Drosophila melanogaster: one gene and its partners. The gene in region 3 interacts genetically with the main gene of each other region. Each region holds a gene or a part of one and is shown on either strand. Other genes may lie near its edges. The genes, in order: ArfGAP1, rdgA, Cds and garz.

What was found.
Region 1: of Cds (region 3) and ArfGAP1, changing one enhances a phenotype caused by changing the other (phenotypic enhancement), as found in Drosophila melanogaster (one study listed by BioGRID).
Region 2: of Cds (region 3) and rdgA, changing one enhances a phenotype caused by changing the other (phenotypic enhancement), as found in Drosophila melanogaster (one study listed by BioGRID).
Region 4: of Cds (region 3) and garz, changing one enhances a phenotype caused by changing the other (phenotypic enhancement), as found in Drosophila melanogaster (one study listed by BioGRID).

Annotation. Positions count from the first base shown.
Region 1 is NT_037436.4:12,413,614-12,421,184, forward strand, and holds ArfGAP1 (ADP-ribosylation factor GTPase activating protein 1), read right to left. Parts: upstream 3,968-7,571; 5' UTR 3,600-3,967; coding exon 3,540-3,599; intron 3,475-3,539; coding exon 2,927-3,474; intron 2,867-2,926; coding exon 2,662-2,866; intron 2,392-2,661; coding exon 2,332-2,391; intron 2,257-2,331; coding exon 1,723-2,256; 3' UTR 1,413-1,722; downstream 1-1,412. Other genes in the region: SCaMC (short Calcium-binding mitochondrial carrier), read right to left, coding at 1-290.
Region 2 is NC_004354.4:8,921,662-8,929,357, reverse strand, and holds the start of rdgA (retinal degeneration A), read right to left. Parts: upstream 4,175-7,696; 5' UTR 3,662-4,174; intron 1-3,661. Other genes in the region: CG43255 (uncharacterized protein), read right to left, coding at 4,984-5,391; CG12661 (uncharacterized protein), read left to right, coding at 5,740-6,135. UniProt on the Drosophila melanogaster protein: Required for the maintenance of phospholipid turnover within the photoreceptor.
Region 3 is NT_037436.4:8,124,470-8,133,408, reverse strand, and holds Cds (CDP-diacylglycerol synthase), read right to left. Parts: upstream 5,648-8,939; 5' UTR 5,555-5,647; intron 5,481-5,554; 5' UTR 5,151-5,480; coding exon 5,040-5,150; intron 4,326-5,039; coding exon 4,201-4,325; intron 3,958-4,200; coding exon 3,861-3,957; intron 3,796-3,860; coding exon 3,619-3,795; intron 3,558-3,618; coding exon 3,069-3,557; intron 2,985-3,068; coding exon 2,853-2,984; intron 2,789-2,852; coding exon 2,576-2,788; 3' UTR 1,734-2,575; downstream 1-1,733. Other genes in the region: Setx (senataxin), read left to right, coding at 1-1,412, 1,475-1,612; Uba2 (Ubiquitin-like activating enzyme 2), read left to right, coding at 5,705-5,848, 5,903-6,057, 6,111-6,398, 6,455-7,970; mRpL36 (mitochondrial ribosomal protein L36), read left to right, coding at 8,371-8,757.
Region 4 is NT_033778.4:12,323,250-12,330,721, forward strand, and holds the start of garz (gartenzwerg), read left to right. Parts: upstream 1-3,110; 5' UTR 3,111-3,424; coding exon 3,425-3,526; intron 3,527-3,589; coding exon 3,590-3,788; intron 3,789-3,843; coding exon 3,844-4,829; intron 4,830-4,890; coding exon 4,891-5,871; intron 5,872-5,941; coding exon 5,942-6,150; intron 6,151-6,214; coding exon 6,215-6,441; intron 6,442-6,500; coding exon 6,501-7,472. Other genes in the region: CG8841 (uncharacterized protein), read right to left, coding at 68-1,338, 1,409-2,651.

The DNA of each region.
Region 1 (7,571 bases), 4.3 Mb from region 3:
TCGTGCAGATCATAGGCCAAGGGCGTGTTGGTAGTGCTGCTGGTGGCAAGATGGGCATGTTGCAGGCCGAGATTTTGGCCGTGCTCATAGCTGGCGGCTAGCGTGCGGGCGGAGTAGTTGGCCTGCGCCTGCTGGGCGAAGTTGAAGTTGCTGGCCGGATCGGGCGTCAAGTCGATGTCGATGTGCTGTTGCTTTTGATCCTCTGGCTTATAGTCCTGCTCCTTTTGATCCTGCTGCTTGCTTACTGCTAAGGATGCACTGTTTTCGATTCCAACTTGCTTTCTGACCATTCTCCACACTCGTGTTTACAGTTTACCTTGAGTTTTCTGTTCTTTAACTGGCAGCTGAAGGATTTCTCTGGGTTTGCTCGGTTTCCGATTCTCTGGGGGATTACGTGTTGGGCTATCAGCTGCTCTGCTCTTATGGCCGGCTCATTTTGCACTACTTGGCAAGTCAAATGGAAAAACAGTCGTCTGAAAGAGGTATCGAGTGTTGTATACACATTAGTTTATAATGTTATGTCTGGGCGAAAGATAAATAAAACAGCTCAACGTATCGAATTTCCCCGCGATGAAGTCATCCTCTTCTTGGCTGGAGAACTACATATGTACATTGTAGGTGCCAATTTTCAGGATCCCGCGTACAACCCACATCCCATTGATTTTCGCAGTTAATTTTGAAGGCCAGCGATTTTCCGGAAAACCTTGAAAAACCCACAGCTTCACGCACACGCACGCACATGTCTCCAAAAGTCGTGGTAGAGGGGGGGAGTGTTGGGAAAAGGGAGACTTTCCCCCAGCAACTCGAACTTTCTACTTTGCAAAGCGTAGCTTTAACCGAAGAATTCTTCACGCTCTCACACACTTTCTACATTCTTTTCTGAATTCTCCGCCCATTTTCCAGACAGGTGTGACTCAAATTTCTCTCGAAACGCTTGCAAATTGTTGCCAATTTGGCAAAAATTATTCTGCACTCGATTTTCATGCACACACACACACACACGCTCACATGCAGGCGAAAGGAATGTGGATATGCAAAAGAAAGTGGCAAGCTTCAATTGCATTTCCCACTTTTTCTGTGGTCACTACCTACTGGTCGAGCTATTTAAGAGTTCGTCTGCTTTTACGCTATTTCGGCGACTTTGTGGCTTAAAGCGATTCACGCAGAACTCTTCAATTTTAATTTTTTGGGTTTGCCAGTGTGACCACGAACGTTTATCTAGATATACTTCTTGTGTGGTCGAAAATACCCTAAAATGCATCGCGTCACTGCTTAGCCGTGACTCAAACCTATTTGTGGTTTTTAAAATGTGGAATTGTAGGGTAACACTATTAATTTTAAATGTATTTTTTAAATTTGCAAATATTTATATTTTTTGAATTTAAAACCGCCCATTTAAAAAACGAACGACTACACTTGTTAACATAATATGTATTTTCTCATCTCGCATCCCTCGCAGTATCCTGGCATACACTTTAAGCTAAGTAATTCGTTAGTTAAGTAGATCTATACAAAATTGGTCTAAACTGTGGAAATAATCGGGAATAGTTGCACTTTATGTTTGAAGTCGAAGAATGAATACACAATTCAGTTGGTTACATTAAATGCGCGCATAGCAGCCTCGGGGCCAGACATCAAGAGACACATAAAACAAAGGAGACACAACTTGACAACCGAATGGAATACAAAAAATACAATCGCATAAGCTGCTCGCCACGGTTTCTAGTTCATCAGCAGATTCCAGGCGTCGTCCTCGGCAGTGCCTTTGTTGGCGGACGAGGCCGTTGCCGTCTTGGGCTTCACACTCTTCACGTCCAGGCTCTCGAAGCCCTCGCTCAGCTTCTGCGATGTGTCCTGCAGCTTCATGTTGCGGCGAGCTGTCGATCCGCCGGACGAAGCGTTCTGGTAGGAGGTCTCTGAACTCTGATAGTTCGTCGCCTCGAAGCCGGACCAGTCAGCGTCGCGGGTTAGGCCGGCGGAGGCGGTACCGCCGCCGCTGCTGCTACTCAACTGATTGTGGTACGAACTCGAGCTGGTCATGTGCGACTTGCTGTTGCCGTTGTCCTGCCAGCCGCCCCAGTCGCTGTCGCTGACGCCGCTCTGCTGACCCAAGCCTCCGGCCAGATTACCGCCCACGGAATTGGAACGCTGGTAGGCGCTGCTGTCCTCGAAGTTGGGATCGTTGTATCCGCCCTGCGGCGACGAAATGTTGCTGCCCGCCAGATTATTCCAACCTCGTTTGCCCATATCGGTGACCTGCGATCGGTATGTTTATATGTTAGAGGGATGTGGGTTTAGAGAAGATTAACTGGATGATGGGGAACTACAGACCTTGCTGGCTACATCGGTAACTCCGCATTGTACGGAATCTAGCAGAGTTCCCTCTTTAATCTACAACCAAAAAAAGATGCAAATAAATAATACAAACAATAAGGTGTACCAATTAAATTAACAAACAAATATGGGGATTAACTAAAGGGATTTTGCTCTCTTTTGTTGTTAAGGTGGGTTTCTACAGCTTTAAATTATTTAAAACTAATCAGCAGACTAATAATAAACCAAAAGAATACAAAATCAACATAATATTGAACCAAATCGAAGAGAATAGGCAAATAAGGAATCAAAATCTGAAAGATATACGAGCTGAGGCGCAGGACTCACCTTTGTCGAGGCCAAATTGACGGTGGTGACGGCCTTCTCCTTGGCGGTGCTGGCCAACTTGGAGGCGTTGGTGGAGAAAAGGCTCCAGCCAGAGGCCAAAGTGGAAAGCGTCGAGTCGAAAAGCTCCTGAGATTGCGTTTTCGGTGGTGGTTCGCGTGTGAACCCGAAACCTGCATATTTTCCGCCCTGACTCGGTGGCAAGTTTCTGAAACAATCAACTAGGATAAATCATAGCTAATGGACAGATATGCCATTAAGATCCTACTCTGGCCTGGAGGCATTCTCCACTTGGCGTCGGCTGAAGAACTCCTCCTTCTGGTCCTTGAACTCCTGCGTTTGGTACTGCTGATAGCCTCCAGGCTCGGCGCCTCCGCCATTCTGATAGCCTCCGTTTCCGCCATAACCTGTTGCACTGGGTCGCGACTGGTAGCTGCTGTTGCTGGAGCCACCTGAGCTGAAGCTATTGTTGCTGCCCACGCGGCCTTGCGCCTCCTTGAGATCCCAGCTCTTGCCCTGGGCCAAGGTGGCTATCTTATCGCGGTACAAAGCAGCCGCCTTCGAGTTGTAACGCTGCGTGATAGGCGCCCGTTCGTTCCAGTCCTCCTGATCCTCCAGAAACTCGCGCGCATTGCGATTGCCGCCCGCCTTCATCTTCTCCAGCTCGATGTCCTTCCACTTATCCATAGTGACGGAGCGCACGAAGGACAGATGCACGCCCAGACTGCGATGCTTGCCGGAGCACTCCAGGCAGATCCAGATGCCGTAGGTCACGGACACCCACTGCGGATTGTGGGTACCGCACTCGAAGCATTTCTAGTCATTTTTAAACAAAGAAATTGAAGCTTATCTAGCGTATGTGGACAAAGGAGCAAACCTACCGAGTTCTCATCCTGGGGTTTCAGTTCCTGGAGCACCCGTCGCGTTCTGGGACTCGCCATGGCAACTGGTTTCTATGGTTTCTGGCCCTGCTCTGGCGGATTGCCCAACTCTTTGCGTTCAGTTGGCTTCAGTTTCGCAGCTGATAACCGAGTTGCTAATGAAACTTTTGCTGACGCTGGCGCTGATTTGGGTGCAATCTTGGCTTTGAGATGGGGCGATTTGAAGCTCTCACACACGCTTACGAGCCTTTAAAGTCCACGGATCGCGACGAACGCCTGGCCAAACGCATTTAACAGAGTTTTGAATTTTTTTGGATCAGCTGGGACGCTTGCAATTAATGGCAAATTGGCAAAAAAAAAGTGTTAAGCGTGTCCCACTTGGAATTGGAGATGAGCTGACCACTCACGACAGCATCGATATACCGAATATTGCATGGAAAACCAAAGGAAGTTGGGCATACTATCGATATTTACCCATCTCAAAGTTCCACTTGGATTTTTGTTTTGCAGTGTGACCAAAGTGCAACTAAAGTGGAACGTTCGGAATTGCGATATATCGATAGTTTATTGAAAATGAGCGGGATATTTAAATATCTTAAGCAAACAAGTTTAATATATTTGAAACTGTCTTTCATAAAAGAAAACCTAAAAATATTAGCTTTAACATGTTTTAATGTTTTAATTTAAAATTCTATCGGTTTTATAAAAACAATAAAATATTTTTTTACTCTGTTGCTGTATTATATTTATTGTATATAGCTTGCATATAATATATTCAAGCTGCTTATTTACTAAATATTTCGAAAAAAGTTAGATAAGAACAAATATTTTCGAAATTATATAAATTAAATTAGACATTTAGAAAACCATTTTTATTCATCATTATCCAACATATGTTAATGTTAATGTGTTAATAATGTTAATAATGTTAATATACACATACATATTTTAGCTAAATATTGCACAAAAATCTCTGTCCGCTCTCCAGCAAATTCAATTAACCCAACTCGATGGCATCGCCTTTGTTGCGAGCACGCCGAAAACCCTTCAACAAATTATACATTATCACGCTGATCTGATTTCCAGATCTTCAGTACTCGTGCGGCGACTGGAGATGCAGCGCCGCCAATTTGCGCTGCGTCATCCCGAAAAAAGTTAATAAAAACAGCGATTTATCACACTCCTAACAGTAATCAATCTCCTACCGACTGTCGGTGGATTTTGATTCGATTTCGGTGTTTTGAATCCCGGACAGGGGAAATTACTTACATGATCGACTTCAATGCAAACAGACCGCGGGTGGCAGGGCCACCAAAGATGAAAGGGAACTCAAATCTGAGAGAATTTGGAGCCGCCTAAAAGCCATTTCCCTTTTCCCCATTTTTCAGTGCCCCTTGGAGGAAAAGTCCAAAAGGTAGGTGACCACACGCGTCTGCACATAATTCAATGCCATTCGGATTAGCATATAATTATGCACAATATTTCCGCAGTTCGGCTCTGCCTGCCCACCGCTAATTCCCTTTCAATTTCCAAACTCGCGCATTTATTTAAGTCAGCGTCTTTTGGCATCTCAGCGGATCTATAATTGCCGTCGCACGCCCAACAAGGGGGGCGTGGCAGATCAGATCTGGATGCGAGCGGCAACGAGCATATAATTGCCGCGGCGACCGCAGGATGTGTTGAATTTAAAAGCCTGCCGGGTAATCCGATCGATCGATCCGCCGATCGCCACGTCCCAGCCAACTTACGACTCCTTCCTTCGCTAAGTGAGCCGATGAGCCAGTGAGCCAAAGAGCCGGGCGTTCCTGGCTGGGCACTCGCTCGACGCTTTCAACAACTACTTGTCCCGCTGCCGGAGCGGATCCAATGCACTGAGATAAATAACAGACTTCTCAGATGAGAAAATAACCTTTCATATTCTATCAAGTAGTTAACAAAACGATCTTAGATTTTAGTTCATAATATTATGAGACTACTTCCTTTAGCTTCCTTTCTGTTGAAGACATCTCTTTAGTAAATCAAAATTTTCTAAGTTTGTTCAATCTAAATATAGAATTTTTAGCATTGAAAGATACCGTTATCTGTGTTTAAACTTCACTTATGCCATGTTTTTCCCTAATACAACACTGCATACATTTGAATTTGGTTGGCGCCCTTAATTTCTTCGAGTGTGCTCCGCTGGTGGTGGTCTTATCAGAAGCCGCGGAGTACTCCCCGATCTGCCAGAAATGGCATTGCTGCGCATCCATTATCGGCTCTGTCACTGCTCTTGCTGGGCGCAGCCACGCCCCCAAAAGCGCCACTGGGCATTGGGCAGTGCGTTGAGATCCGTTTTCGTTTCAGCTCCCAGCTCGCAGAGTCCAGGGTTGGATTTTGGGCTTATGGCCTGAGTTATTGTGTGGATACGATCAAATTATAGGCTTAGGCTTGCATTAAACTCGCATAGACGTCGTCGGTTGGTCGCAGCCAGACGAGGAGCAGCCATGGGTTCGCGGGCTCTGGAGAGGATGCGCATTTTATCATCGGGGCATCCGGTCGCGGCTCCTCCTATGCTTGAGATTTCCCCCCTATTTTTGTTCTCCTTTGGATCCACAAGCCCCTCGCAACTTGTCAACACGTGCAAAACAATGCTCGCAATCGCATTCGCATACGGATTTGCATTCGATTTCCCATTCCCAAATGACGTGCAAATGAATTTGAATTTATGCAAATGAGCAGACTGTTCGCACGCCGCAGCCACAAAGTCTGCGCAGGCACAGGTGATCTCTAAGGTAGAAAACAAAAAAAAAAAAAAATCATAAAAAACTCTGGCGAAATAAAATAAAATCGCTCGAAATTGCACCAATTAAGGGGAAATGTATGGAGAGGATCGTCGAGGACCAAGCAAAAAATAAAAAAAAAGAACAGAAATCAAAGGGGGGGAATGCAGATTGGTCTGCATTTATCAGCGATATTAAAGCGTTAAGTGAATTACTTATTCTCCTGGTCGCAGCAATGCGTTACCTTTCATGTCCTCCTGTCCGGAGGATGCCCCTCTCCAATCCCACCTGCCCTCTCACCTTTTCGAGTTGTCAATGCCGATGTCGATGGCCGCGATCTTGCATGCGACAATTATATGGGCCCTGTGCTGTGCTGTGCGACGCCAGTTTGGCTCCCGATCTCATGGCCAAAAGCGGCAGCTCTCTGAAAAGAGGGCCCAAATCCAAGGGGAGGGCGTATGAGCTGGGTGCTGAGGAGCCAGGACTAGTGATCCGGCTACCGAAGACGCAAGGCTTTGGCCATTCTGGTGCCGCTCTGGTGCCGCTCCGCGCCGCTGATCGATTCGCAGCCAATCGATCGGCAGCATCATGCAACCGCGCACAGCCTTCAGCTTCAGCATTTGGAGTGGAGATCGGAGCACAGAGGTGGATACCAAAGGGGGTTCCATGGGGCTAACGAAACTCACAAAAGGGAACTTTGCTCTCAGTCATTCCAAGGCTACAGCAGCCCTTTTAACTAAGATAAGCTTTAGTTAGATGACTCAAAGTTTAAAATTCATATGATTTTACTTTAAGCTCCCTTTTGGACTTCGCCTCTGTGCTCCAATCCTCAGCTGGGACCCATTCCTGCTCCTTAGCTTAACAAATCGTGCCAAATAACACAACATAATGACAACAAAGCAGACGACGACGACGACGACTCCGAGTCCGCAGACGATGTCCACTTGGCTGCCTTTGGTCTGGGATGCTGAGATGTTGGGATGCTGGGTTGTTGGGGAGCTGGGAATCGCAGGTCGGTGATTGCCATTTCAAGATTTCGCCACTCACACCAGCACACAACGTGGGGATGGCGAAAATTAAGAGATATTTATAATAAGCACGAAAACCACTTAATACTAACGCCTTTGGCAATTAACAGGTACAGGCAACGGACAACGGCTGAATTGGCGGCCAGGATGCAATCGGAACTCGAGGATGATATGCAATCCACTCTCGCTTGGATACACCAGCTCCATTCAGGGACACTGGCTGTCACTAAGAAAATGGAGCGGCA
Region 2 (7,696 bases), on a different chromosome or scaffold from region 3:
AAAAACGTTTGCCCACCATTTAAAACTAAATAATTTCGATTGCCCACCTTTTAAAACTAAATAATTTCGTTTGCCCACCCTTTAAAATTTGTTTTTTTCGTTTGCCCACTCTTAAAACTAAATAATTTCGATTGCCCACCTTTTAAAACTAAATAATTTCGTTTGCCCATCCTTTAAAATTCATTTTTAACGTTTGCCCACCCTTTAAAAATAAATTATTTCGTTTGCCCACCCTTTAAAATTTGTTTTTTTCGTTTGCCCACTCTTAAAACTAAATAATTTCGATTGCCCACCTTTTAAAACTAAATAATTTCGTTTGCCCATCCTTTAAAATTCATTTTTAACGTTTGCCCACCCTTTAAAAATAAATTATTTCGTTTGCCCACCCTTTAAAATTTGTTTTTTTCGTTTGCCCACTCTTAAAACTAAATAATTTCGATTGCCCACCTTTTAAAACTAAATAATTTCGTTTGCCCATCCTTTAAAATTCATTTTTAACGTTTGCCCACCCTTTAAAAATAAATTATTTCGTTTGCCCATCCTTTAAAATTCATTTTTAACGTTTGCCCACCCTTTAAAATTTGTTTTTTTCGTTTGCCCACCTCTTAAAAATGGTTTTTTCGATTTTTCACCTATTAAAAATAAATTTGTACATATGTATGTAATAATTGTAAGATGTGGCGTCAAAAGCACAGTTACTTACAAAAGAACAGTTATTTACATATTTACATACATTTTCAATATATCCATAGTGTTAATCATTCATGAATTGTAACATCAATTTTTCTTAATCATTGTTTCATTTCATGGAAAATATTTTATTCCAGAATTTTCTTGAGCTTGGAGGGTGTTGATAAACATACATACATTTTTTTGCATATATATTATATTGCAATATAAAATATTTTCCATGAAATGAAACAATGATTAAGAAAAATTGATGTTACAATTCATGAATGATTAACACTATGGATATATTGAAAATGTATGTAAATATGTAAATAACTGTTCTTTTGTAAGTAACTGTGCTTTTGACGCCACATCTTACAATTATTACATACATATGTACAAATTTATTTTTAATAGGTGAAAAATCGAAAAAACCATTTTTAAGAGGTGGGCAAACGAAAAAAACAAATTTTAAAGGGTGGGCAAACGAAATTATTTAGTTTTAAAAGGTGGGCAATCGAAATTATTTAGTTTTAAATGGTGGGCAAACGTTTTTTATTGGAAATTTTTATTTTAAAGAGGTGGGCTAAGGAAATTGGTTGTATTTTAAATGTGGGCAATCGAAAAAAAATTTTTGTTAAAGGTTTTTTAAAGGGTGGGCAAACGATAAAAACTAATAATAATGGTTGGGCAAACGTTTTTTGTTGATAATATTTGGTTTTAAGAGATGGGCAAACGATTTACTCTCTGATTAGACCGAGGTAAACTTAAAAGCCTTATATTTTCTAAAGTATAAATTTTTTCAAAATTCTAAAGGGTGGGCAAACGTGGGCAAACGATGTTATTGCGATTTAAAAAAAAAAATTTTGAAAAAAGCGAAATTTTTGATTTTCGAAAATTTTCGAACTTTTTCGAAAATTCATATCTCAAAAACTGGACGTGGGCAAAAAAACTAATTGGTGGGCAAACATGGGCAAAAAATGGGCAAACGATTCCAGCTTTCAAATTTCAAAAATTCGATTTTTCCGACCCCAGCTTCTTTGAGCTACCTAAACTGCCACACACAACAATGATTGATTGTGGAAATTTTTGTGGGGGTAAAAAATGGTGAATAAATTACCACACTGGTTGGTAATTGGTTTGGTTTGCAATGCAATTCCATTCGATATTGAAATTCCCAAAAATTGTTCAAATGGCAATTTCTATTAATTAACACGGTGCTTTTGGCAAAGGAAACACCCTTACAAATGGATATACAATCTGCAATCAAAATGCGATGCATACGTGTTTCCCCCTCGTTGCTGTCAAATAGCCCGCGGTATCTTTCGACCATTTTCATTCTCTTTTCTGTTTTTTTTTTTTTCTTCTTTTTTTTGTATTTTGTTTTCAATTTTTATGTGTATTTTTATTGGATTTTATATGCGAACCCAACCCCTGGGTCACGAATAAAAAAAAAGCGACAAGAAATGAAAATTGAATATTTTATGTGAAGCGAAGCAAACAAGAGCAAACAAAAAATTGTGGATCAACAATTGAAACATCGCGTTTTTATATGTACGCAAGACAAATGGGTAGCAATTTCTTTATTTCAGAAACAAACAAAGTCGCCTAAAACAAAAATCTTTAAACCATTTCAAAGCGCACACATTTATTATTACAAATATGTGCAGGCTTCATTCATGTTTATACTTTGGTGATTTAAAATGTAAATTCTTCGTATTGATTAAAAAAAAAATATATAAATTTAAAGTTTCCTTAGAGAAATTTAAATTGTATATTTACACTTGGTTACCGCGACGAAGTGCCTTCGTCGTTGAATGCAAACTTGAGGACAACAAACGAGCGGAAGCACAAACACAAATGCCACGTATACGCCACGTTGTCTGACATTTTCCCCTGTTACCGGGGAAATGCGAAATCAAAGATTGCCAACCGCACAGAGTGCCGCCTTTCGCCATTACGTTATTTTCGCCATTTCGCGCTCTTATGTCAGAGAAAAGCCGGTCACGCGCCAATACAAGAGCTGCAACATCCTCCAGCATGCAGTTCCTTAAACGCACCGATTAGCAAAAGGACACGTACACGAAGGATGCGTGTGCGGATGTCGTTGCGGATGCCAGTGCGGATGCGAATGTGGCAACAAGTTCGGCTAACGAGACTGGCTGGCCGACAAGAGCACACCCAAATCCTTAACCGGAGTGGCCTAAAAAAAACCTAAACCGCTCGCTTTGGCCAGCAATTTTCAATGAATGGCATCGTTTAATACAATTGCCCACACGGCGTATGCGTAACGAGTTTGTTTCGCCGTGTTTTTGCCGAATTTCGAACCGAAATTGCAGACGATTTTTCATTAAATCATCTTATTGACACACAGACATTCGAAAGTAGGGGGATACTCTGAGACAATGAGAATGTTGGTAATTGAATTTATACAGAATGAAAAGCAAAGGGCATTCCACGGAATTTTATTCAAAATTACACATTGTTGCACACATATTTGTGGAGCCTAAAAAGAGCTCGAGCTTTAAATAATTTTTAAAAAATTACTGCTTTAAACTAAGATATATTAATATATTCAAGCAATTCGAGTCAACTATTTTACATCTGTGGAATTTTGAAACTCTTTGTAAACTATAAAATCCGATTATATTTTATGATATTCCAAAAAAACTCATCAAATTCAACACAACAAGCTGAGAACCGAATTCTTGATAATTTCCATGCGTGATTCTATTAACTGAAGCATACAATACAATATTCTGTGGAGCTTTTCCTAAAACTACGAATATTTGCCAAAAATTGTAGCTGAAACTTTAAATAAATCTGGGAATCCCCATTTGAAGACTAAATATAAAAACATTTCCGAAAAATCACAATACAAACACGCTGCTCACAATCACACACGGCAAATAAACTCTCACATCACGAAATTAATCAACAAATTTTCCAAGGAAATTTTTCAATGAATTTCAATAAGTATATTCATATTTACCGTTTCGGTTTGCCGCTTTAGTTTTTCTTTACAATGGAACGCACTTTTCAGTCGTTCGAATCAAGTCAAAATTTCGTGCACATTTTTGCGTGCTTTTACACGTTAACAGTTAGGATTCAAAAAGCACAAAAACTAGATCTTAGTCTTACATAGTTTTAAGTTTTAAGTTTGTATCGTAGCTTATATTTCAAGTATTGAATAAATACTTTGGAATATCTTTGAATATTTTCGAATATTTGTACAAGTTAATATTGGTTTAGCACAACACTTAGAAGCACAATCAAAAAAATAGTTACTTTATATTTAGATATTGTAAGTTTTTCAGTATGTTTATGTTTTTCTTATGGTATGCGATGTTTTTGTTGTGTTTTGGGCGATGTTGGTGTTTTTTTTTAAGAACTTGGTAGTTCCAGAGAGTTTTGGTATTTTGCTTTGAAATGTTTGGCCTGCTTGGGCTGTTCTGCTATTTAAATGAGTTATTTATTTCTAGAACAACGCGCCTCGTCGACCGTTCAAATGAAACTGATGCGAAGGCGACGCATTGCCAGGAATATAAAGCGACCGGGAGCGAGAGGGCGCTATTGAGCATAAGCGCGGGAGCGAGCGAGAGGCCAGCAATCGGCCGGCAACTTCGGCTGTGGTCGGCAAAAGCCGAAGTACTATAAACACCTGTAAGCAGCCTTCGATGCCGGCGAGAGAGCGAGAGGGAGAGAGGGAGGGAGGGAGAGAGAGAGAGCGAGAGCGAGCAAGCGAGCGAGTGGCCGTATCGTTCTCACTCCCTCACCCTTTGCCGCCCAACGCCCACATACTCCCGCTCGCCCCGTCTCTGTCTCACACCCTCTCTCGCTCTCGCTCTCTCTCTTTCGCGCTCGCATTCGGAAGCGGAAGGAAACTCAACAGTTGGCACATTATTGAGTGGAGAGAGGAGCGGAGAAAGTAGAGCGGAGAAATGGCGAGAACTGCGGAGAAAGTGCGGGCGGCAGCGCTACTCTTTGTTTTTGTTGTCGCTGTTTGTTGCCATCAAATTTATGGCAATCATTTGTGCGGTGTTTTAAGTTGGTCCAACACAAGTGCCCAAACTATCGATAATTATCGAGAGAGAGAGAGAGAGAGAGAGAGTGATGGCGTGTGAGGGCGATGGAGGAAGTAAGGGATTAGAATAATCCAAACGATTATCGTAATGATATTGTTAGCTATTAGCAATCAGATTGTTTGCAATATCTAAAACAATTTAAATAAACGATTTTATGGCATTAATTATCGGTATAATCGGCAATATTGTTATCGATCAATATCATTCCTAACAACAGGAAGAAAGCTGCTTATATTTTTTTGAAAAATATTAAATCGAAGAAATCTTCAAGGAAATCATTGGTCTCATGTTCGGTGTCGACCTCGTCGAGTAACTTCTTCAATCTTCGTAATAGATCCTTGTCCTTTTCGAGAGTATCCAACAGTTGTTCAGCATCGCTTTTTAATAAGCCCAATTTACGTAGTAAACGTATCACACGCCTTTCAAATGGCGTAAAGGACTGACGTTTGAATCGGTTGTATCTCTGCGGCAGCTTCAAGGATATCTTGTGTTGTACAAATTCCACAGAATTCTCTTTATGTTTAGTAGTCGTTAGCTGCTCCTTAGATATCCCGTAGAATTCCTTATCACGACGTTCAAGGCTTAATCCAAAAGCGGCCAAAAAGACCAAGAGCCCAAAGATATGCAAGTAATGCATTTTTAAAAACTATGCACGGCCACGTTGTCCAACTTCTACTTATATACACTTTCAGTAGTGCACTTATCAGCAAAAAACAAATTAACTCAAACTCAATTAGAGATAGCTTCACACTGAGTTATGTCAATGCCGTGACTTTAGTTTAAAAATTTGCCCAAGAAGAGTCAAGAACATGACCTAACTTACTTAACACTGCGAGTCGCCCATTTCCTGCTCATATATTATTTAAATTGAAGAAATTATTACAAAACCAAAGTAGCATTGCGTTTTGCGTAACTCAAATAAGGGCAGTCAAACGAAAATTACCAACCGACTTTTATATTTTCCATAAATTTTATACTACTCGAGATGGATTGTGACAATTCGAGTTTGGAGGAGAAGCGAGAACGCGTTGACAATGCAATCCTAACCGCCATGGAGGATCTGGATCGGGATTATCTGCGCAAATTGCAGATCGAGATGCACAGATGTGCGACCGCCTGTTGTGCGGATGCGGACGCGAATGCGGAGGCGGTGGAGCGGTGCATCGATCGCTGCCAAATCCGTTTGACCCGATCACGCTGCTTCGTACAGCAGGGTATATCCGATTTTGAGAATCGCCTAGAGAAGTGCATCCAGCAGTGCCGCCTCAATGGATCCGATTATAGCTTGGAACGTTGCACCAGCAACTGCGTGGATAGCCATGTGGGATTGTTGCCCGAAATGTTTAGGGCTATGCGAGATACCCTGGAGAAAGGTGTTTAGCAAAACAGAACACTTATGGTTTGATTTAATTAAAATTATATTCGTTGGATTTAAACAAAAATGTCTTAATTTATATTATTTTATATTATATTTATTATTCAAAAATTCATTTAAAAAATATCATGGACTGTGAACCACCGATTTCCTTAAATGCCATCAAACACCTCTTAATTGCTAAATAGCGACTTAATTAATGCCAAACGGCAATTAGTAATCTAACACCAGTCGCCAATCGGCCGAGGAAATGTTTATTGATTTATTTACTAATTTAATCGATTATGCTGCAATTTTTGGTGACCCAAAAACATGCTTTTTATAAAGCAATTACGAGACCTCATTCCATCGAAGGATAATGGCCCAAAAGCAATACAGTCCACAAATTATTCATACGAACATGTTTCGTATGGTCTGTGATTTATTCAGCAACATAGAGAAAAACGCGCCGCATGTAAATGCTACCAATTGATTTTTTTTTTTTTTTTTTTTTTTTTCCATTACGATGATGTTTTTATTATTTGATCAACGCACTGTTACCCATGCGGCAACTTAATTTGATCTGCTTAAATTATTTTATTTTACAATGTGTCTTGGTTACTTAAGACTAACAGATTTTTAATCCTAAAAATGATAGGGAGAATTATAATAGTTGATATAACATAGTAATTATTATTTATTTGATTATTCTAATGAATTTTAAAACTAAGACTTTCTAGGTCAAAACCAGGTTAGGGAGGTCATGAGGGTGGTGTCGCTTGAGTCTTCTTTTGACTCTAGTCCGAGGGTCAGCATTGACCACAGCTGCAGTTCCTAGCTTCCTTGCTAGGCTGTTGGGGTGTACTCCAATTGATACGACAATAGCAATAATCTCCTCGTCACGGGCAATGTGGCATACTTTCAGGCGAGGCACACCAAAGTTTGGGCGCCAAAAACGGCGCACAATTGCAGCAGAGGAAGGAAACGGCAAGGAGAAACAAGGAGGTCTTCAAATTGGTTCGAAGCAAGGCAACGAAGTAGACATTATTTGAAAAAGGCATCTACGACCTGTCCGTCAATGAGTGCGCTGCAATTACCGTGGAAATTGGTCAGCGTTGCGTCTGCCTGCCTGAGCAATCGATAACCAATTGTGAAAACTGTACACTTATCGAAATAATCGATTTTCATAGTTTAAGACAAAAGAAACGAAATAGTGAACTGTTCATTCAATTGACGGGACCATTTAGTTACTTAAATGAGGAAGTAATTAGGTCAGCCATATTTGATCTATATTTCATGTCTATCGACAAGCAAATATCAAACGTATCGATACTACCGATAATCAGCTTTGTATTGCAATTCTATGTGGAGTTTCCCCAGTTAAAGTTTCATCAGTCCAAGGGGAACATAAAGTCAGGACAACGGACTGTGACTGTGCTATCCACCCATCGACAATTTCCGATGACCAAATATACCCACTGCCGCCCCCTGAACTGAACTGAACTGAACTGAACTGAGCTGAGCTGAGCTGAACTCTCCTGTCCTGTCCATCAAGGGGCAATCAGACTCGAGTGTACGGAGGTGTATT
Region 3 (8,939 bases):
AACAGCCGTTTACGTTCAAGGGGTGCCACAAGTTAAATGAACATCAGGAGAACATTGTCCTGCATACCTATCAACGTATAATTGACGACTTACAACCGAGTCTCACTCTGATCCAGGGTCCCCCCGGGACCGGAAAGTCAAGAGTTATTTCGGAACTATGTCTGCAGACTTTGTACGGAAATGCTGCCAAAACGCTGGACCGCAAAATCTTGATATGTGCTCATTCCAATACAGCTGTAGATCATATTGTTGGGCTGCTAGGCTCAGTTTTGCGTGTGATGAACCGCGACCAATTCCACCTACTACGTTTTGGAATGCACGAGAAGATGAGCCACTACTCTCGTCCATTTTCGCTGGAGGCGCATTTCAACAAAGCCAAGGAGCAGAAGTTGCAGCGCGTTAGTAAAGAGAACGCTGAAATCCTAAAAAAGCAGCATAATGATCTTAAAGATGAGATTCAACAGCTGAAGGAGAAAACGAATCTCACGTCAACGTATCTCTTGCAACAGTTGCAACAGAAGGAAAAAAAACTGCAGCTGATAAGTAACCAACTGAGTCCGCCGCTGACGCAGCGCGAGGAGTTTGAAATCTCTCACATGTGCGTGACCAGGGCGAACATCATCTGCACAACGCTTTCCTCTTGTGTAAAACTGGCAAACTATGTAGATTTCTTTGACATATGCATCGTCGACGAGGCCACACAATGTACCGAGCCCTGGACTTTACTGCCAATGCGATTTGGATTAACGCATATGGTCTTGGTTGGCGACATGCAGCAACTTCCGGCTGTGGTGCTGTCCAAGAAGGCCATAGACTTTGGCCTTTCTAATTCAATGTTTGATCGCATTCAGCGAAGCCTGCAGACACAGCTTGATAAGCCGGGAAGTTATCACTTAATGCATACGAAACTATTTAAGCTGAGCACGCAGTACCGCATGCATCCAGAGATCTGTCGATGGCCAAACCAGTATTTCTACGAGGATCAGTTGATAAACGCCGAGTGTACTGCTCGTTTCGCCTCACCGCTCATTCCATACTGCGTTATTAATTTAAAATACACTTGCGACAGCAATGGCGCCCAAAACAAGAGTATCAGCAATAACGAGGAGGCTCGTTTTGTGGCCAAACTTCTGACAGAAATGGACAAACATATGCCCAGCAAGCGATTTAGCTATGGATTAATTTCGCCGTACCAAAACCAGTGTTACGCGCTAAGCCAGGTTATTCCCAGTCACATGAATATAACTCCTCAGACTGTGGACTCGTATCAAGGATTGGAAAAGGATGTGATAATAATTTCAAATGCCAGGACACGCGGCTGTGGCTTTCTAACGAACTATCAGCGACTTAATGTGGCGCTGACCAGACCGCGTCGTTGTCTAGTCATATGTGGCAATTTTGAAGATCTAAAAGTCAGTATCCAGATTTAATTGAAATAAAACATGTTTTTTATGAACTTTTCTTAATTTTGTAGTCTGTTGAAATGTGGCGCAACCTTCTCGATGATGCTCGCAAGAGGAAAGTTTACTTCAATTTGGACCGCGATGATGTGAACGACCTAGACCGTTCCTTAATCAAAAAGATGATGGTGAATACTATCAACTTAATTTAGGGGACACAACGTTCCCTATTAGTTAATGAGATTAAAACTACCTTTTAGATGCTAAGATATCACAAGTGCCATGGAAGAGAAGCGCTTCCCACATTGTTTAAAAAAAGGCTTTGTTATTTTTATATATATTTAACATAGAGACTGTAAGATTTAATATTGAAATCTTTGTACATTTAGTTCTTTAAAACGCCGACGAATTGCATTTTCGTTCTTAAATGCCGTACAGTATAACAGGATTTATAAGTAACCGATTATATATCATCTATGTACTTTTTGAGAAAGATTCACGGGTTGAGGATGTTGCACTATGCATGGCGTAGTGTATGACCGAATAAAAGTAAATAAATAAATATTGAAATGGTTAAATCAATTATTTAACGTCTGCATATTGCACTATTATATATAGAATTACAGCATTGCAAGAGTTTTCCTGGTATCTTGATCTCATAATTTCGTCCCTCAGGTATTTAACTAAAATGCGCTTTAATTATGCTAATCTCCAGATTCTGGCGTTGTCTGCCTGATCATCTCTAAGCTATAGTTATCGTAATTAAATTCACTAACAACACGCACACACACATAGTCGATATTAAATTCATAGTTATTCTGTTTGCCTTGCCTTGACGCCTTGTCACGAGGGCATTAAAATTAATGGAATCGCTTAACAATACGATTGCACTGTGTAGAGTTCTGCCAAATAAAACAATCGCAATAACTTAATGCAAGATAAAATAAAAACTAACTTAAGAATTTAACTAAAATGTAGCAACAAAATCTAACTAAGGACTAATAACATAACAAAAATTATGCCCGTAATTAACTTATTTTATGTGGCTGCTCAAACTGCCGGCCCGTTTGCTTACAGATATATATCAATGTATATATATAGAAATTTCTGCATTACATATAGAACGTACGACTCAGCAAACGTCTTGTCCGAATCTTACTGGTAACCGATCAAGTTTAGGTTAACATGTCGCCCAAGTTGTCCTTGAGGGACTGATAAATTTGGTATTGTTGATCTGGCTTAAGGTTGTAAATCTGTGTCAGCAGCTTAGCCGGCGACGGAGTTCTGATGAAGCTGGATATATAAACGTTAACGAAGGTCGCCATAAGAAACTGACAATCGAAACGATCCATAATGCCGCCATGTCCGGGTATCATGTCGCCAAAGTCCTGCAAAACAAGATGGTGTGTTGCGTTACATTGAAAAGACCTGTGTTCCGAAAAGATTACTTACCTTAATTTTGAAAGCTCTCTTAAATCCAGAGGCAAAGAAGCCACCAAAGGGTCCAATAATGGAACTAAACAGGCTCAGGGAGATCGAGTGCCAGATAAAGGGGTAAAGATTTAGAGTCTTGCCAATGCCAAACTGGAAATGAAAAAAATTATTACTGTAGCTATCAGCACAACAAATCGGTAACCCATAACTCCATAGAAATACATTATCACTTACCAATTTAAGGCTGTATTCCTGGGGCGTGAACAAATAGCTTGGCACACAGGACATTGTCATGCGTCCCTGTTCCTCCGAGTACTGGATGGGACAGATAAAGTACTGGTAGTTGCACAGCACATACGAGAACAGAATGCCAAAGAGGACGGTGGCGAAGCCACCCCCGATGAAGCCCTCCCAGGTCTTCTTGGGGCTGAGCTTGATGAGGGGAGTGCGCCCAAAGAAGAAACCGAACACGTACGCCATGACATCATTGCACACTATCATCGAAACAGGTACGATGAACCAAATGAGCCCCTCAAATATATTCTGTATGATGAGGTAACTCTGGGTGACGACAATCAGCAGGGATACATGGGTCCAGGCAAACAGGCTGAATTGTTTGATGTAATACTTCTTCACCAGTGAGAGCACGAACCAAACGAACCCGATGATGTACAGGGCGAAGGAAAGGAACCGGTGATAGGTCACCAGGAACTTCAGATATTCCTGTAGATGAAATTGCATATTTACCAGGCGATATAATCAGGTTATTGTATTATTTACTGACCACCCGATTAATTACAACGCCAAAGTAGTCTACCAGATTCTCTCCGTAAAAGAAGTAATTTGAGGTAAGCAGGAAATACCAGGAAAGGCTTCGGAACCAGGGCAAGCCATGAATTCGATAAACCTGGTAGCCAATCGAGATGATCTCCTGGAAGCACTTCACCTGCACCAGTAACGTCTGCAAAGAGAAAGTAGGACAACGATTATTTGAAGACTCGTTTAAGCGAATTCCATTAAACCTACCGTGATCATCAAGGCCAGCGGTCCACCATAGATGATCAATGCGAAGCCGCAGATCATAATCCATGTGAAGATGCCGCGAATCACCCAGTTCTTCCATCTGTGGAATGCGCAAAAAATAATTGTTTGTAATTGTACATATTTACTTTTAATATTTGCTCGCCAACTGTAGACAGCTGTGGATATGGATTATTTTTGGAACGCACTCATACTCATTCTGTCGGATTTATAAAATTCGCACTTCAATAAAATATTTTTTGAATCATCAATTCCAAATCGACCTTTAGCTATTCATCATGATCTTTAAAGATCCCAACTACGCATATGGATTTGTTTCACATACCTATCCGGCAGATCCTTGAGGGCCGAGTCCAATATCTCGGGCGTTTTGTCGGTTCCCTGCGGCAGATTCTTGGCCAGTTCGTCGACGAACTTCTCCTCGGGAATCTTCTCTTCCTCGGAGTCCACCTGGCAGGAGGAGGAGCAAGGGAAAGGGAAAATTCACTTATTGATTGCATTGGCTGGGACTGCAAAGTAGGTTTCCTATCAGATTCGATACGACCGGAGTGCAGGGTTTAAATACTTTCTATTGGACGACGCCGAGCAAAGTCCATGATACGTGTATGTATGTGCCTATATACCCATAATCAGAATCACTCGTTTATCCAATACACAGGCACATAAAATAGAGAGGGGAACCAAGTGGGGAGAAAAATTGCGGGTTTTTTTGGGTGGCGTGTTTTGTTGCCAAATAGCTTGGTTGATAAGGAGGCATTATCACCCAGCAATAACAAAAAAAGTCCAAGCCAGAAAGGGAGTCTGGTCATGGTAATGGTTTCGGCTCTGGGTTCTTGGCCCAGTGCTTCCCTAATTGGCGTAGTCCATCTAATTGGATTTGCTGGTCATAATGGCGCTATATTGCAACACAGCAGGTGGGTGGTTGGGTGGCAGGCAGGCTGGCTGGCTAGTGGTGTGTTTTGTGTTTGTTATTGGATTTTCTCCAGGAGAGAGCTCTCTCTTCTTTCTCCCACCTGCTTGTGCGTCAGAGAATAACAAAAACACATAGCCACACACATTTGTTGGTATACACACATTGGCTTTTCTATGCTCCAAGAATTATGCAAATTGGTGTCCGGAACAGCTGCCGCTCGGCTGCTCCACATACAAGTCATTGCTACTTACATGGTCCGAGGAGTCGGCGGCGGAGTTGCGCTTATTGGCTGCGTCAGATCCGGAGATGGCCGTGTCCTCCAGTGGCTCATCCTCGCCCTTCCTGCGTCGCACTTCGGCCATTATTCGATGTTCGCCAGATCTATTCACAATGTATTGATTCCTATTGATTCCGCTTGAGCAGTTCTCGTCCGTGTTCCGCTCTCCGCGTTTGCCGTTTGCCGTGACCCGTGCTGCGTGATCCGTATGTCGACTTCGTCCGAATTAAAATGCTTTTCTCTATTTCTGATTAGCCCAGCATGCAGTGTGCCCAGCTTGCGCAAAGTGGGCTGGTGGAGCAAAAGTGTTGGCAAGTATGCTCAATTGCTGTTAGGTTTTACAAGTTGACTTTTCGGACAGAAAATGTTTGATGTCTTTTAAAAGAACTTTCTTTTTCTGTGCAATTAACGGTGACTTTTGTCGTAATATGTAAAATAAAATATATTAATAATACTAGAAAAGTTAATTTAAGTGATAATAAGAGTCACCCATATCAGCCATCCCTGGTAGAGAATATCCGTAGCTTTATACGTTTCCCAACACCTGCACCGGCGGCGTCACTTTTCTCGGCTTTTCCGTATCGCAATTTTGCAATTTTCTCGCCAAAAATAAGAAAAAGGAAAACGTAAATTCAGAAAATGGCAGCAGCTATCAATGGTGTTTTCCCACCCACATTGCAGGAGCTGGTAAAGAAGTCCAAGGTGCTGGTCGTGGGCGCCGGCGGAATCGGCTGCGAGGTGCTCAAAAACCTTGTGCTTAGCGGCTTTACAGACATCGAAATTGTAAGTTTTTTCGAAAAAAGTATTCCATATTATTAATTTATAAACGTTACCCAGATCGATCTGGACACAATTGATCTTAGCAACTTGAACCGACAGTTCCTATTCCATCGCGAGCACGTTGGAAAATCTAAGGCACGGGTGGCTAGGGAAAGCGCACTGAGCTTCAATCCGGACGCTAAGATAACCGCTTACCACGACAGTGTAACATCGTAAGTTGGGATAGCTTTGCCTTTACATCTTGCTAACAACACATACCTTTTAGTACTGATTATGGCGTCAACTTCTTTAAGAAGTTCGATTTGGTGCTCAGCGCCTTGGACAACAGGGCCGCCAGGAATCATGTAAATCGCATGTGCCTCAATGCGGATGTCCCGCTGATCGAGAGCGGCACCGCCGGCTACAATGGCCAGGTGGAACTGATCAAGCGTGGACTCACCCAGTGCTACGAGTGCACTCCAAAAGACAAACAGCGAAGCTTCCCGGGCTGCACCATACGCAATACGCCCTCCGAACCGATTCACTGCATTGTCTGGGCCAAGCATCTCTTTAAGTGAGTATACCTAATAATTAGTCTAAATTGCAGCAAATCTATTGATTTATTTGCAGTCAACTGTTTGGTGAGTCCTTGGAAGATGAGGATATTTCTCCTGATGCTGCTGATCCCGATGCAAAAGAAAAAGACGGCGGCGATGGAAATGGCGAGCCCAAAGGCGATGGGAAGGAAAAAGGCGAAGAGTCAAAAGAGGAAAAGGAGGCCAAGGAGGATACTGCCAACGGCAACATAATGCGCATTAATACTCGCCAATGGGCCAAGGACTGCAACTATGATGCGGGCAAGCTGTTCAACAAGTTCTTTAACGAGGACATTACCTATTTGTTGCGTATGTCGAATTTGTGGAAGACCCGCAAGGCACCCGTGCCCGTGCAGTGGGATACCCTGCTGCCCGAAGGATCCTCCGGTGATCAGAAGGATGTGGCCAAGCAGCATCACAAGGTGTGGTCCATCGAGGAGTGCGCTCAGGTCTTTGCCAATTCATTAAAAGAGTTGAGCGCTAACTTCCTGAAACTCGAAGGCGACGATACTCTGGCTTGGGACAAGGACGACCAGCCAGCCATGGATTTCGTGGCGGCCTGCGCCAACGTGCGATCCCACATTTTCGACATTGAGCGAAAGTCAAGGTTCGAGATTAAGTCAATGGCGGGAAACATTATTCCTGCTATTGCCACCACAAATGCGATTACGGCGGGAATTTCCGTGATGCGGGCTTTCAAAGTGCTGGAGGCCAAGTGGGAGCAGTGCAAGGCCGTCTATGCCCGACTTAGACCAAATGCACGAAATCACTTCCTTGTACCGGACGCTTCTCTTCCTGGCCCCAATCCCAATTGCCATGTATGCGCCAGCGATCCGGCCATTACTCTCAAGATCGATACGAAGCGCATGCGTATAAAGGAGCTGCGTGACGAGGTCCTGGTTAAGACGCTCAACATGTTGAATCCGGATGTGACTGTGCAGAGCAATGGCTCCATTTTAATCTCCTCAGAGGAGGGCGAGACCGAATGCAATGACGGCAAGCTCCTAAGCGAATTAAACATTGTGGATGGTGTGATCCTCAAGTGCGACGACTTCTTCCAGAACTACGAGTTGAGTATTATCATTTCCCACTTCGATGCGGAGCGCGATGAAAACTTGTTCGAAGTCGTAGCAGATGCCTCACAGCTGAAGCCAAAGGATGAGGATCAGAAGGAGGCCGTGAAAGACAAGGAGGATGAACCGAAATCGGCTAAGAAGCGTTCTACCAACGGGGAAGGAGACTCAAAGGACGATGGACCCTCCACTTCGAAGCGCAGCCGGCCCAACGAAGTGGTTGAGGAAGATGACGATGACTGTCTGGTAATCGAGGAAGACGAAGACCAAGCAGATGTTGTTGTCGTGGCCACAGACAAGCTCTCTGTGCAGAGTCCCCCAAAATCGGGCTCCAAGCGCAAGCCATGTGAAGTAATCGAGGATGAGGATATCACCGAGATTTTGGAGTCGTCTGACGACGAACCCGCGGGACCAACCAAGTGCAAACGTTCCCGCCTGGACGATTCGAACCCCGTGGCAGTCATCAGTATCGATTAATAAAAAAAAGAAGTTTTTATTCGAATAAGTTCTCAACTGCGCACTAAATTATGCTCTTGATTCCCTGTAATTTCATTCTGATTTAAAATAAAAACACATTTTTGTGGATGATAAAATTTTTAAATTTTTGTGCTTTGAACGGGTTTGGTTTTGCTCTACTCGATTAAATTCAAATAATCCAGTGCGAGAAATGTAATTTTATTAAATAAAAGAAATATAAAATAACATTTAAAATTAGTCAAATTTTTAATTCGATAACTTTTTAACGCCAACCAGTGCTGCGAAGCACTGGAAGTCATTGTGCCTGTTATCGGTTTCTGACCAGTTCAATCCAAAACAGAAAAAGGTGAGCTGTTCTACAAATTTTCATTGTAAATCTCAATGAAAATGCAAATTTCAGATGTCCCTGGCTAGTAGAATACTGCAACAAGGTTCCCGCTTGTGGAATGGTCTCAGTGCCGCGCGTGGTTTCCACCTTCTCACCCGGCCGGCGGCTCCTGCAATTGTATCAATTCAAAGCTCGCAACTTGTGGCCGCCACAACTGGAATCTGTCAGACGTCGGGTCTGCTGACGCCTGGCTCCACTTTGGTCCAGCAGGTGGCGGGATTCAAGGTCAAGGGACGCCTGAAGCGACGCTGCAAGGACTGCTACATCGTGGTGCGCCAGGAGCGCGGTTATGTCATCTGCCCCACGCATCCACGCCACAAGCAGATGTCGATGAAGAAGCGCGACTACAAGTCGTGGATCCTGACGCACGCCACCCAATCCAAGGAGCGCGGCTATTAGACCTAATTAGGCATTAATAAAAGCATTTCTTTAAATATGTTCATAAATAAATAAAAGAAAAATAATCCAAGTAGTCCGTGATACGTTTCCTAACACTGTATCAGCTGATTGTTTGTTTATATCGCAGTCGTTTCTTGCCTGTTTTGCTTTTTACTGTATCCGACCGGAGTTCAGTACACCTG
Region 4 (7,472 bases), on a different chromosome or scaffold from region 3:
ACAGTAAATGCCAAAGCGTGTAAGCTACGATTGCGCTGCTGGTGTAGCTGGGAGTCCACTTACTGACCTAGACGCGCTGAATCTCGAAGAGCTTGACCTCCGTATCGTACCAGATGGCAGGCTCCACGTTGCGCAGGTAGATGACACCCCAGATGTAGGTGCGGAACCATGCCGTTGTGCCCGCATTGGCCTGGTACTTTCGGATGAGAATGGGATGCGGCACTGGGAGCAGTCCCACTAACGTTCCGTGTTGCAGAAACTTGAGGATCTCCGACTCGTCGGTCAGTCCTTTGTCAATGCAGATCTTCTCCACCTGGGGCACTAGGACCTGAAGCAGTCGCATGATGGTCTGCAGCGGCAGCTTGGAGCGCCAGGAGACGATCCACTCGGGCGTGGGCGTCCAACGATCGCTCTCGCCAGGCACCATGCGAATGCTGGCCCTGTGGGCCACCGACAAGCGGGACAATTCCGTGGGTGAGGTGGACTTGCGTTCGTCAGTTGGCGTCGAAGCGGCTGATCTGTCGTAGGGCACAATGTCTGTAGAATCCTCCACCTGAGGCTTGTCATTTGGATGCGCCTGCTCCCGCTCCGTCATCTGAGTAATGCCCGGGGTGTCCAACAAGGACGTTTTCAGTGTTCCTGGCTCGGCTGGCTGCGCCGTGAGAACGTCCGACTGCAGCTCCCCCGCCTGAGATCGCTCATGAGACTCTGTCTCCGATTCGAGATCCTCTTCCGCCTTGGGCTCTTCATTAATTATCTCCTCCTCGTCCTCATCCTCGTCTTCTTCGTTGTACTCTTCTGGCACGTGGGCCGAGGGCAGTTCCTGGGACACAGCTGGCGTTCTTCGCTGTGGTACCCGCGGCAAGTTAAACTTTCCACCTGTTTTACGGCCACTCAGGCACTTGGCTATGCCAGCCATATCGGTCGGGAGATTTGCCATGGCATGGAACACATGACGCTTTCGAATTATGGTGTAGACTAGATTCGAGTTGCCATCGAACTGATACTGTATAATGTTATTGAAGATCTCCAGCAGGAAAAACACCAAATGATGATTGCTGGGTGCCGATAGCAGAAACCAGGGTGTGCTAAAAGCCTCCAGGAGATGCAACATCTTTACACTAGCCACCATCGAGAGGGTTTTCAGATATGGTGAGACATTTACCAGAATGGTCAGCAGACAATCGAAAAGCGGCTGCAGCCTCTGGTGGCCAGTGGCTATTATTTTGTGGAACACAGTGATGAGTAAGTCCGCATGGGTTCCAGTAAACACAGGTATATCCATGGGCACCGTGGCGGAGTATGCTTTGTTAAGCCGAACCCCAAAGTTTCGCTCACCTATCAATAAACATTTATTTAAGTGTAAGTGCACTGATTCCACGAACAAAACATATGACATATGACTCACCCGATAGGAGCAACAGTATGAATACTCCAATATGCATCAAGCCCACTCGAGATTGATCCGCTCGGGAGTAGTTTAGGTGATACAGAATGGGAATCAGGATGTCCAGAACATCGGAGCTCTTTAGCACAAAATACAGAAACTTTTTGTTGTAGTCGCATATTTTCCAAAACAAAATAAGCAGCTCCTGGTGGCAATGAAGTCGCTTTGTGGAATTGGGCAAATAGTTCTGGACCAGTGGGTTGTTCAGCAGCCTGGTTATGCCCTTGAGCACAAAGTGAAAGTCCTCGTCGCGGTGAACCCTCGAAAGATAGTTAATGAACAAGTTGTCGCCGCAATTGCCCTCGTCGTAGGACGCCTGTCCGGGTTGTGTGAGTTGCTGCTGCACCACCATATCGTGATCCAAGGTGACAATGAGCAGTTGAAGGCACGCTTCCACCAGGGGCTCTGTGGTGTCTGCAAACAGCAGGTGATTGTAGGGCACGCCGAAGCCCACCGGATCGTAGGAGCACACGGTGTTCAGAAACGAGGTGAACAGCGGCAGGGCATGGCGATTGTCGGCCGAGGTGAAATATGCTATCCACTTGTTGGGCTCCTCGGACTGCTGCGGCGATCGGTACATGGGCTCCGAGAAGCAGGTGAGTAATAGCTTCAGCAACTCCGTGCGCCTGCGCTCCATGTGGGCGTTGTGGGGCGGTGACTGGGCGAAACCCACGCCCGCTTCCCAAATGTACTCGCAGCTATCGATGTTCGCCAACTCCTCGGCCTTCTCGGGGCCCGCACGCCGCGTGGCCGTAACCGTGAAGTCGGGACAGAAAAGAAGGTCGCAGGTGGCATTGAGCAGTGACTGAGCCAACGGCATGGTCTTGTCCTGCGATGGCAGGCTGCTCCAGAAGAAGTCGCGCCACTTTTCGTCCTCGAAAATGTACGGCAGACACCGGACGAGCAGCCGCACGCAGTTCAAAACGCACTGCTGCTCCGCCTGCGTGCGACAACTGCTGTCTACCGCCTGGGCAAGCTTTTCCACCGCCTTGTAGCATAAGGTGGCCAGGTTGGCTGGATTCTCGTTCCGTATCTGGCGAATCTCGCTCGAGGTGACCAGCGCGAACACATCCTCCAGCGTCGTCTGGTGGCCCTGCCAGAACTGCTCCCAGAACTGCTCGTCGCTGGGGTCGATCTTCTGGTTCTTCTGCGTCAGCTGCACAATCGCCTTGCGAAAGTTCAACTTGGAGTCCGTGTTTCCCATATTGTTCGGCCTGTGGGCTGCTTTGGTATCGCTGAGTCCTGTAAATCCACCTGCCCCGTGCTCGATCGCCTCAGTGCAAGTGTGCGCAGTAGTCTGGAACAGGAATGCTTTGCATTTAATGCGATTCTTTTTCAAAAATCGAACGATTCCAATTAGAAATTCGCCTACGCACCAAATGCCAGTGTAACTTAGTGGTGGGTGTAACGCTCACGACTGAAGATGCGTGCGTGACTGATTATGCTCACCTGTTTTGGCCCTCATATTCAAATATCAATTTGATTAAATCAATTTGATCGACAGCTTGGCAACATATTTTATTTTAAAAACAAGGTTATATTTTTTTTATATACGCTTGCAGCTGTATTTCAATTTAATCTATTGAAATTTCCGCATCGAGTTGGCATCTACAGCTGTGCCAGTGCTGCGAAGCGACGAACTGCCGCGCCGGTGTTGGAAGACGCTTGTGCAAAATATTCGGACTGCACACAAGAACATAAACGACACGTAAACGTCACCAAAAATTAGCAGCTTACCAGTTCGATTAGTTAGGATTAGTGAGAGATGCCCAACTAGGCAGCACGCCCAGATTCGTCCAGGCAGCGTGAGTGTGCGAGTGGGCAAGTGGCGAGTGCCAAAACATATGCGAAGGTCGTCGGGAAGGGAGGAGGAGCTGCCCTGCCCCACGAAAACTGCAATTTTCAGCGCTAGCCCTGGAACTGGAAGCCAACTAGCTGCAGTCGTAGAGACACCGCAACGGAGGACACGCGGACACCATGGCGCTTCCAGGCAACGGCATCTACGTGGTGCGGGGCGAAATGGCCACCCTGATGACGGCGATGCGACGTGGAACGCGTTGGAATGCCACCGCCTACGTGGTAAATAGTGCCCCTAATGCTCACTGCGAATAGAAAGTATATGGCCCTTTTGCACATCCACAGGACGACGAGAATGACTCGCTGCTGAAGCTGTTCATTGACCTCAAGCATGAGCTAAATCGGATCGAGGACCTGCGTCAGATCGAGCCTCAGGTCTTCCTGGCTCCGTTTCTTGAGGTGATTCGCACGGCGGACGCCACGGGTCCGTTGACTAGTCTAGCCTTGGCCTCGGTTAACAAATTATTGTCTTACGGGCTAATAGGTATTATGATTTAGTGCTTACCCTCTGCATTTGCTCATTCTGTACCTATCCACAGATCCCACGTCTCCAAATCTGGCTGACATTGTGGAGCGCATTGCCGATGCTGTGACACATGCCCGCTTTATGGGCACCGATCAGTCCTCGGATGGTGTCACCTTTATGCGAGTGATTGAGGTGCTGCACACGCTTATCCGCAGTCCCGAAGGAGCCGCCGTCAGCAATGTGTCCATGTGCGAGGTGATGCTCAGCTGCTTCAAGATCTCCTTCGAGCCGAGGCTGAGTGAACTGCTTCGTCGCTCGGCGGAAAAATCGCTCAAGGACATGGTGCTGCTCTTCTTCATGCGCCTTCCCCAGTTCGCCGAAGAGCGAAGTGACACCATGCTCCAGAAGCGATTTACTATCGGCGATGCTGCCAGCGGAGCTACCCAAGAAAAACTAAAGCGTAAGACGGTTGCCCAAGCCCAGACAGCACCCAGGAAATCGTCAGCAGTGGAGGAACCGCCTCAAACACCGCAGTCTGCCAACCTGACGGTGCCAGGGCACTTGAAGGCACCCATATTGGCCACCACACCCGCCAGTCCAGCGGGAAACATATTGGACATGCAGGGCAAGATTACGCAGACACCAACAACAACGGCGAGCACGGGGGAAGATGAAACCACTGTCCCGGAGACTCCTGTTATTCAAGTGGAGTCGACTGAATCGGAGCCCTTGCTGGACGGCGAAACGGGTGAAGCAACCAGCACCCTGGCCGAGGCAAATAGTAGCGAGTACATCAACTCGGTGGGCGTCCGTTTTACACAGCAGTCCACCGATCACGATGTAACATCACTATCCCCTTATGGCCTGCCCTTCATCCAGGAGTTGTTCCGATTCCTCATAATCCTCTGCAATCCTCTGGATAAGCAGAACTCGGATAGCATGATGCACACGGGTCTTAGTCTACTTACTGTAGCTTTTGAAGTCGCAGCCGATAATATTGGAAAGTATGAGGGCTTGCTGGAGCTGGTTAAGGACGACTTATGCAGAAACTTAATATCGGTAAGGGACTCTTAATTGCTTCGTTAGTTATTTCTGACCTAACTCTTTCCTTTCCCTACAGCTTCTCAGCTCAGAGCGGCTTAGCATCTTTGCCGCCGATTTGCAGCTCTGTTTTTTGCTTTTCGAGTCTCTCCGCGGACATCTCAAGTTTCAGCTGGAAGCCTACCTTAGAAAATTGAGCGAGATTATTGCTAGCGATAATCCCAAGACGCCCTACGAAATGCGAGAACTCGCTCTGGACAATCTACTGCAGTTGTGGCGCATTCCCGGCTTCGTCACGGAATTGTATATCAACTACGATTGTGACTTGTACTGCACGGATATGTTTGAAAGTTTGACAAACCTACTGAGCAAGTATACGCTGTCAGCAACGAATGCAGTTTATAGCACCCACATTATCTCAATGGACACCCTGTTAAGTGTGATAGACAGTATCGAGCGAAATTGTGCCGCGAGCAAGAATAGCAGCAACAACAGAGAGTCCTTGCCAGAAGCTGCCCCAGCAACAGGTGGCAGCCGCCATTCTCGCCACAACAGCGGATTGGAGGGAATCGTAATTGATTCTGGCAATAGTGTAGCTGCAGAAGAGAAAGTGGAGAACATCGCAAGCTTTATAAATGCGAGCTCACATCGACTACGACTACAATCTGGCGGAGAGGGAGTGGGAATAACCAGTGAACAGCTGGCCAAGGTCAAACAGAAGAAGCGTCTGCTATCCCAAGGCACAGAGCGATTTAATCAGCGTCCAGAGAAAGGAATCCAGTATCTGCAAGAACACGGCATCCTAAATGCCGAGCTTGATCCCATGCAGGTGGCCCTGTTCCTTCGAGAAAATCCCGGGCTCGATAAAAAAATGATTGGCGAATATATCTCGAAAAAGAAAAACGTCGACTCTAAGATTCTAATTAATTTTGTGGACTCGTTTGATTTCACTGGTCTTCGAGTGGATCAAGCATTGCGTCTTTATCTGGAGACCTTCAGATTGCCCGGAGAGGCTCCATTGATCTTTTTGGTGCTGGAACACTTTTCTGATCATTGGCATGTGAGTATACACATCTACTAAAATACTTGCAGTCTCTGATATTAATCATGTATGTATCCCACCAATATAGAAACAAAACCAAGATCCGTTTGCCAACGTAGACGCTGCTTTTCGCTTGGCCTATGCCATCATCATGCTGAACATGGATCAGCACAACTCGAACGCGAAGCGTTTAAATGTTCCAATGACGCTCGAGGACTTCACTAAGAATTTGCGTGGTCTAAACGGTGGCGAAGATTTCGATCAAGAAATGCTGGCTCAAGTCTTTAATGCAATCAAGTAAGCTTTAGTACATATAGCGTCACTCTCATTTGCTTATATTTCCGATTATTAATTATTTAAGGAACGAAGAGATCGTTATGCCAGCAGAGCAAACGGGTCTGGTGCGTGAAAATTATCAATGGAAAGTACTGCTTCGACGAGGAGACACGCACGATGGACATTTTCACTATGTGCATGACGCATCATACGACGTGGAGATCTTCAATATTGTGTGGGGTGCTTCTCTGAGCGCCCTAAGCTTTATGTTTGATAAAAGCACTGAAACGGGCTACCAAAGAACTCTAGCAGGTACGTACATAAACATCTAATAATTACCATTCACATCTCACATTACGATTACATTTCAGGTTTCAGCAAATCCGCTGCCATATCGGCGCACTATAATCTGCATTCGGACTTCGATGCCCTCGTTTTAACTCTCTGCAAATTCACAACGCTGCTGAGCAGCGTAGAACAGCATGAGCCCGCTCCGGCGAACAATGAAACCCAGCAAGCTGTGAACTTTGGATTGAACGGAAAGGCTCAGGCTGCCATGCGAACGGTGTTTCTATTGGTTCACGACTACGGCGATTGCTTAAGAGAGAGCTGGAAACACATTTTGGACCTATATCTGCAGCTTTTCCGTCTAAAGTTGCTGCCAAAATCATTGATCGAAGTGGAAGACTTTTGTGAGGCGAACGGAAAGGCCATGTTAATCCTGGAAAAGCCCCGCGAGAAGCAGGAATCGGGACTATTTTCCAGCCTGTACTCATTTATCAGCTCGGAGGGTCAGCGAGAACCAACGTACGAGGAGCAGGACTTCATCAAACTGGGACGGAAGTGCATTAAGGAGTGCCAGCTGGATCAAATGCTGCAGGAATCAAAGTTTGTGCAACTAGAGTCGCTGCAGGAGTTGCTTAAATGCGTTCTAGCGCTACTGAAGGCTCCTCAGGGGCACAAATCCATTGGCCTGCCGTACGCCGAAGATCAAACTGTTTTCTGGATGGAATTTTTGGTCAAGATAGTTGTTCATAACCGGGATCGCATGATACCGCTGTGGCCAGCAGTTCGAGACCAAATGTACCTACTGCTTATGGGCAGTGCCTCCTGTGGATACGACTACCTACTCAACCGATGCATTGTAGCGGTCCTAAAACTAGCTATCTATCTGATGCGAAACGAAGAACTGTGTCCGATCGTATTGCAATCGCTCAAGATGCTTTTAATGCTTAAGCCAGCCTTGTTGCTGCGCATTTCTAAACAGATTTCCATTGGTATCTATGAGCTGCTCAAGACGTCGGCCCAAAATATTCATTCCGAGCAGGACTGGCAGATTATTT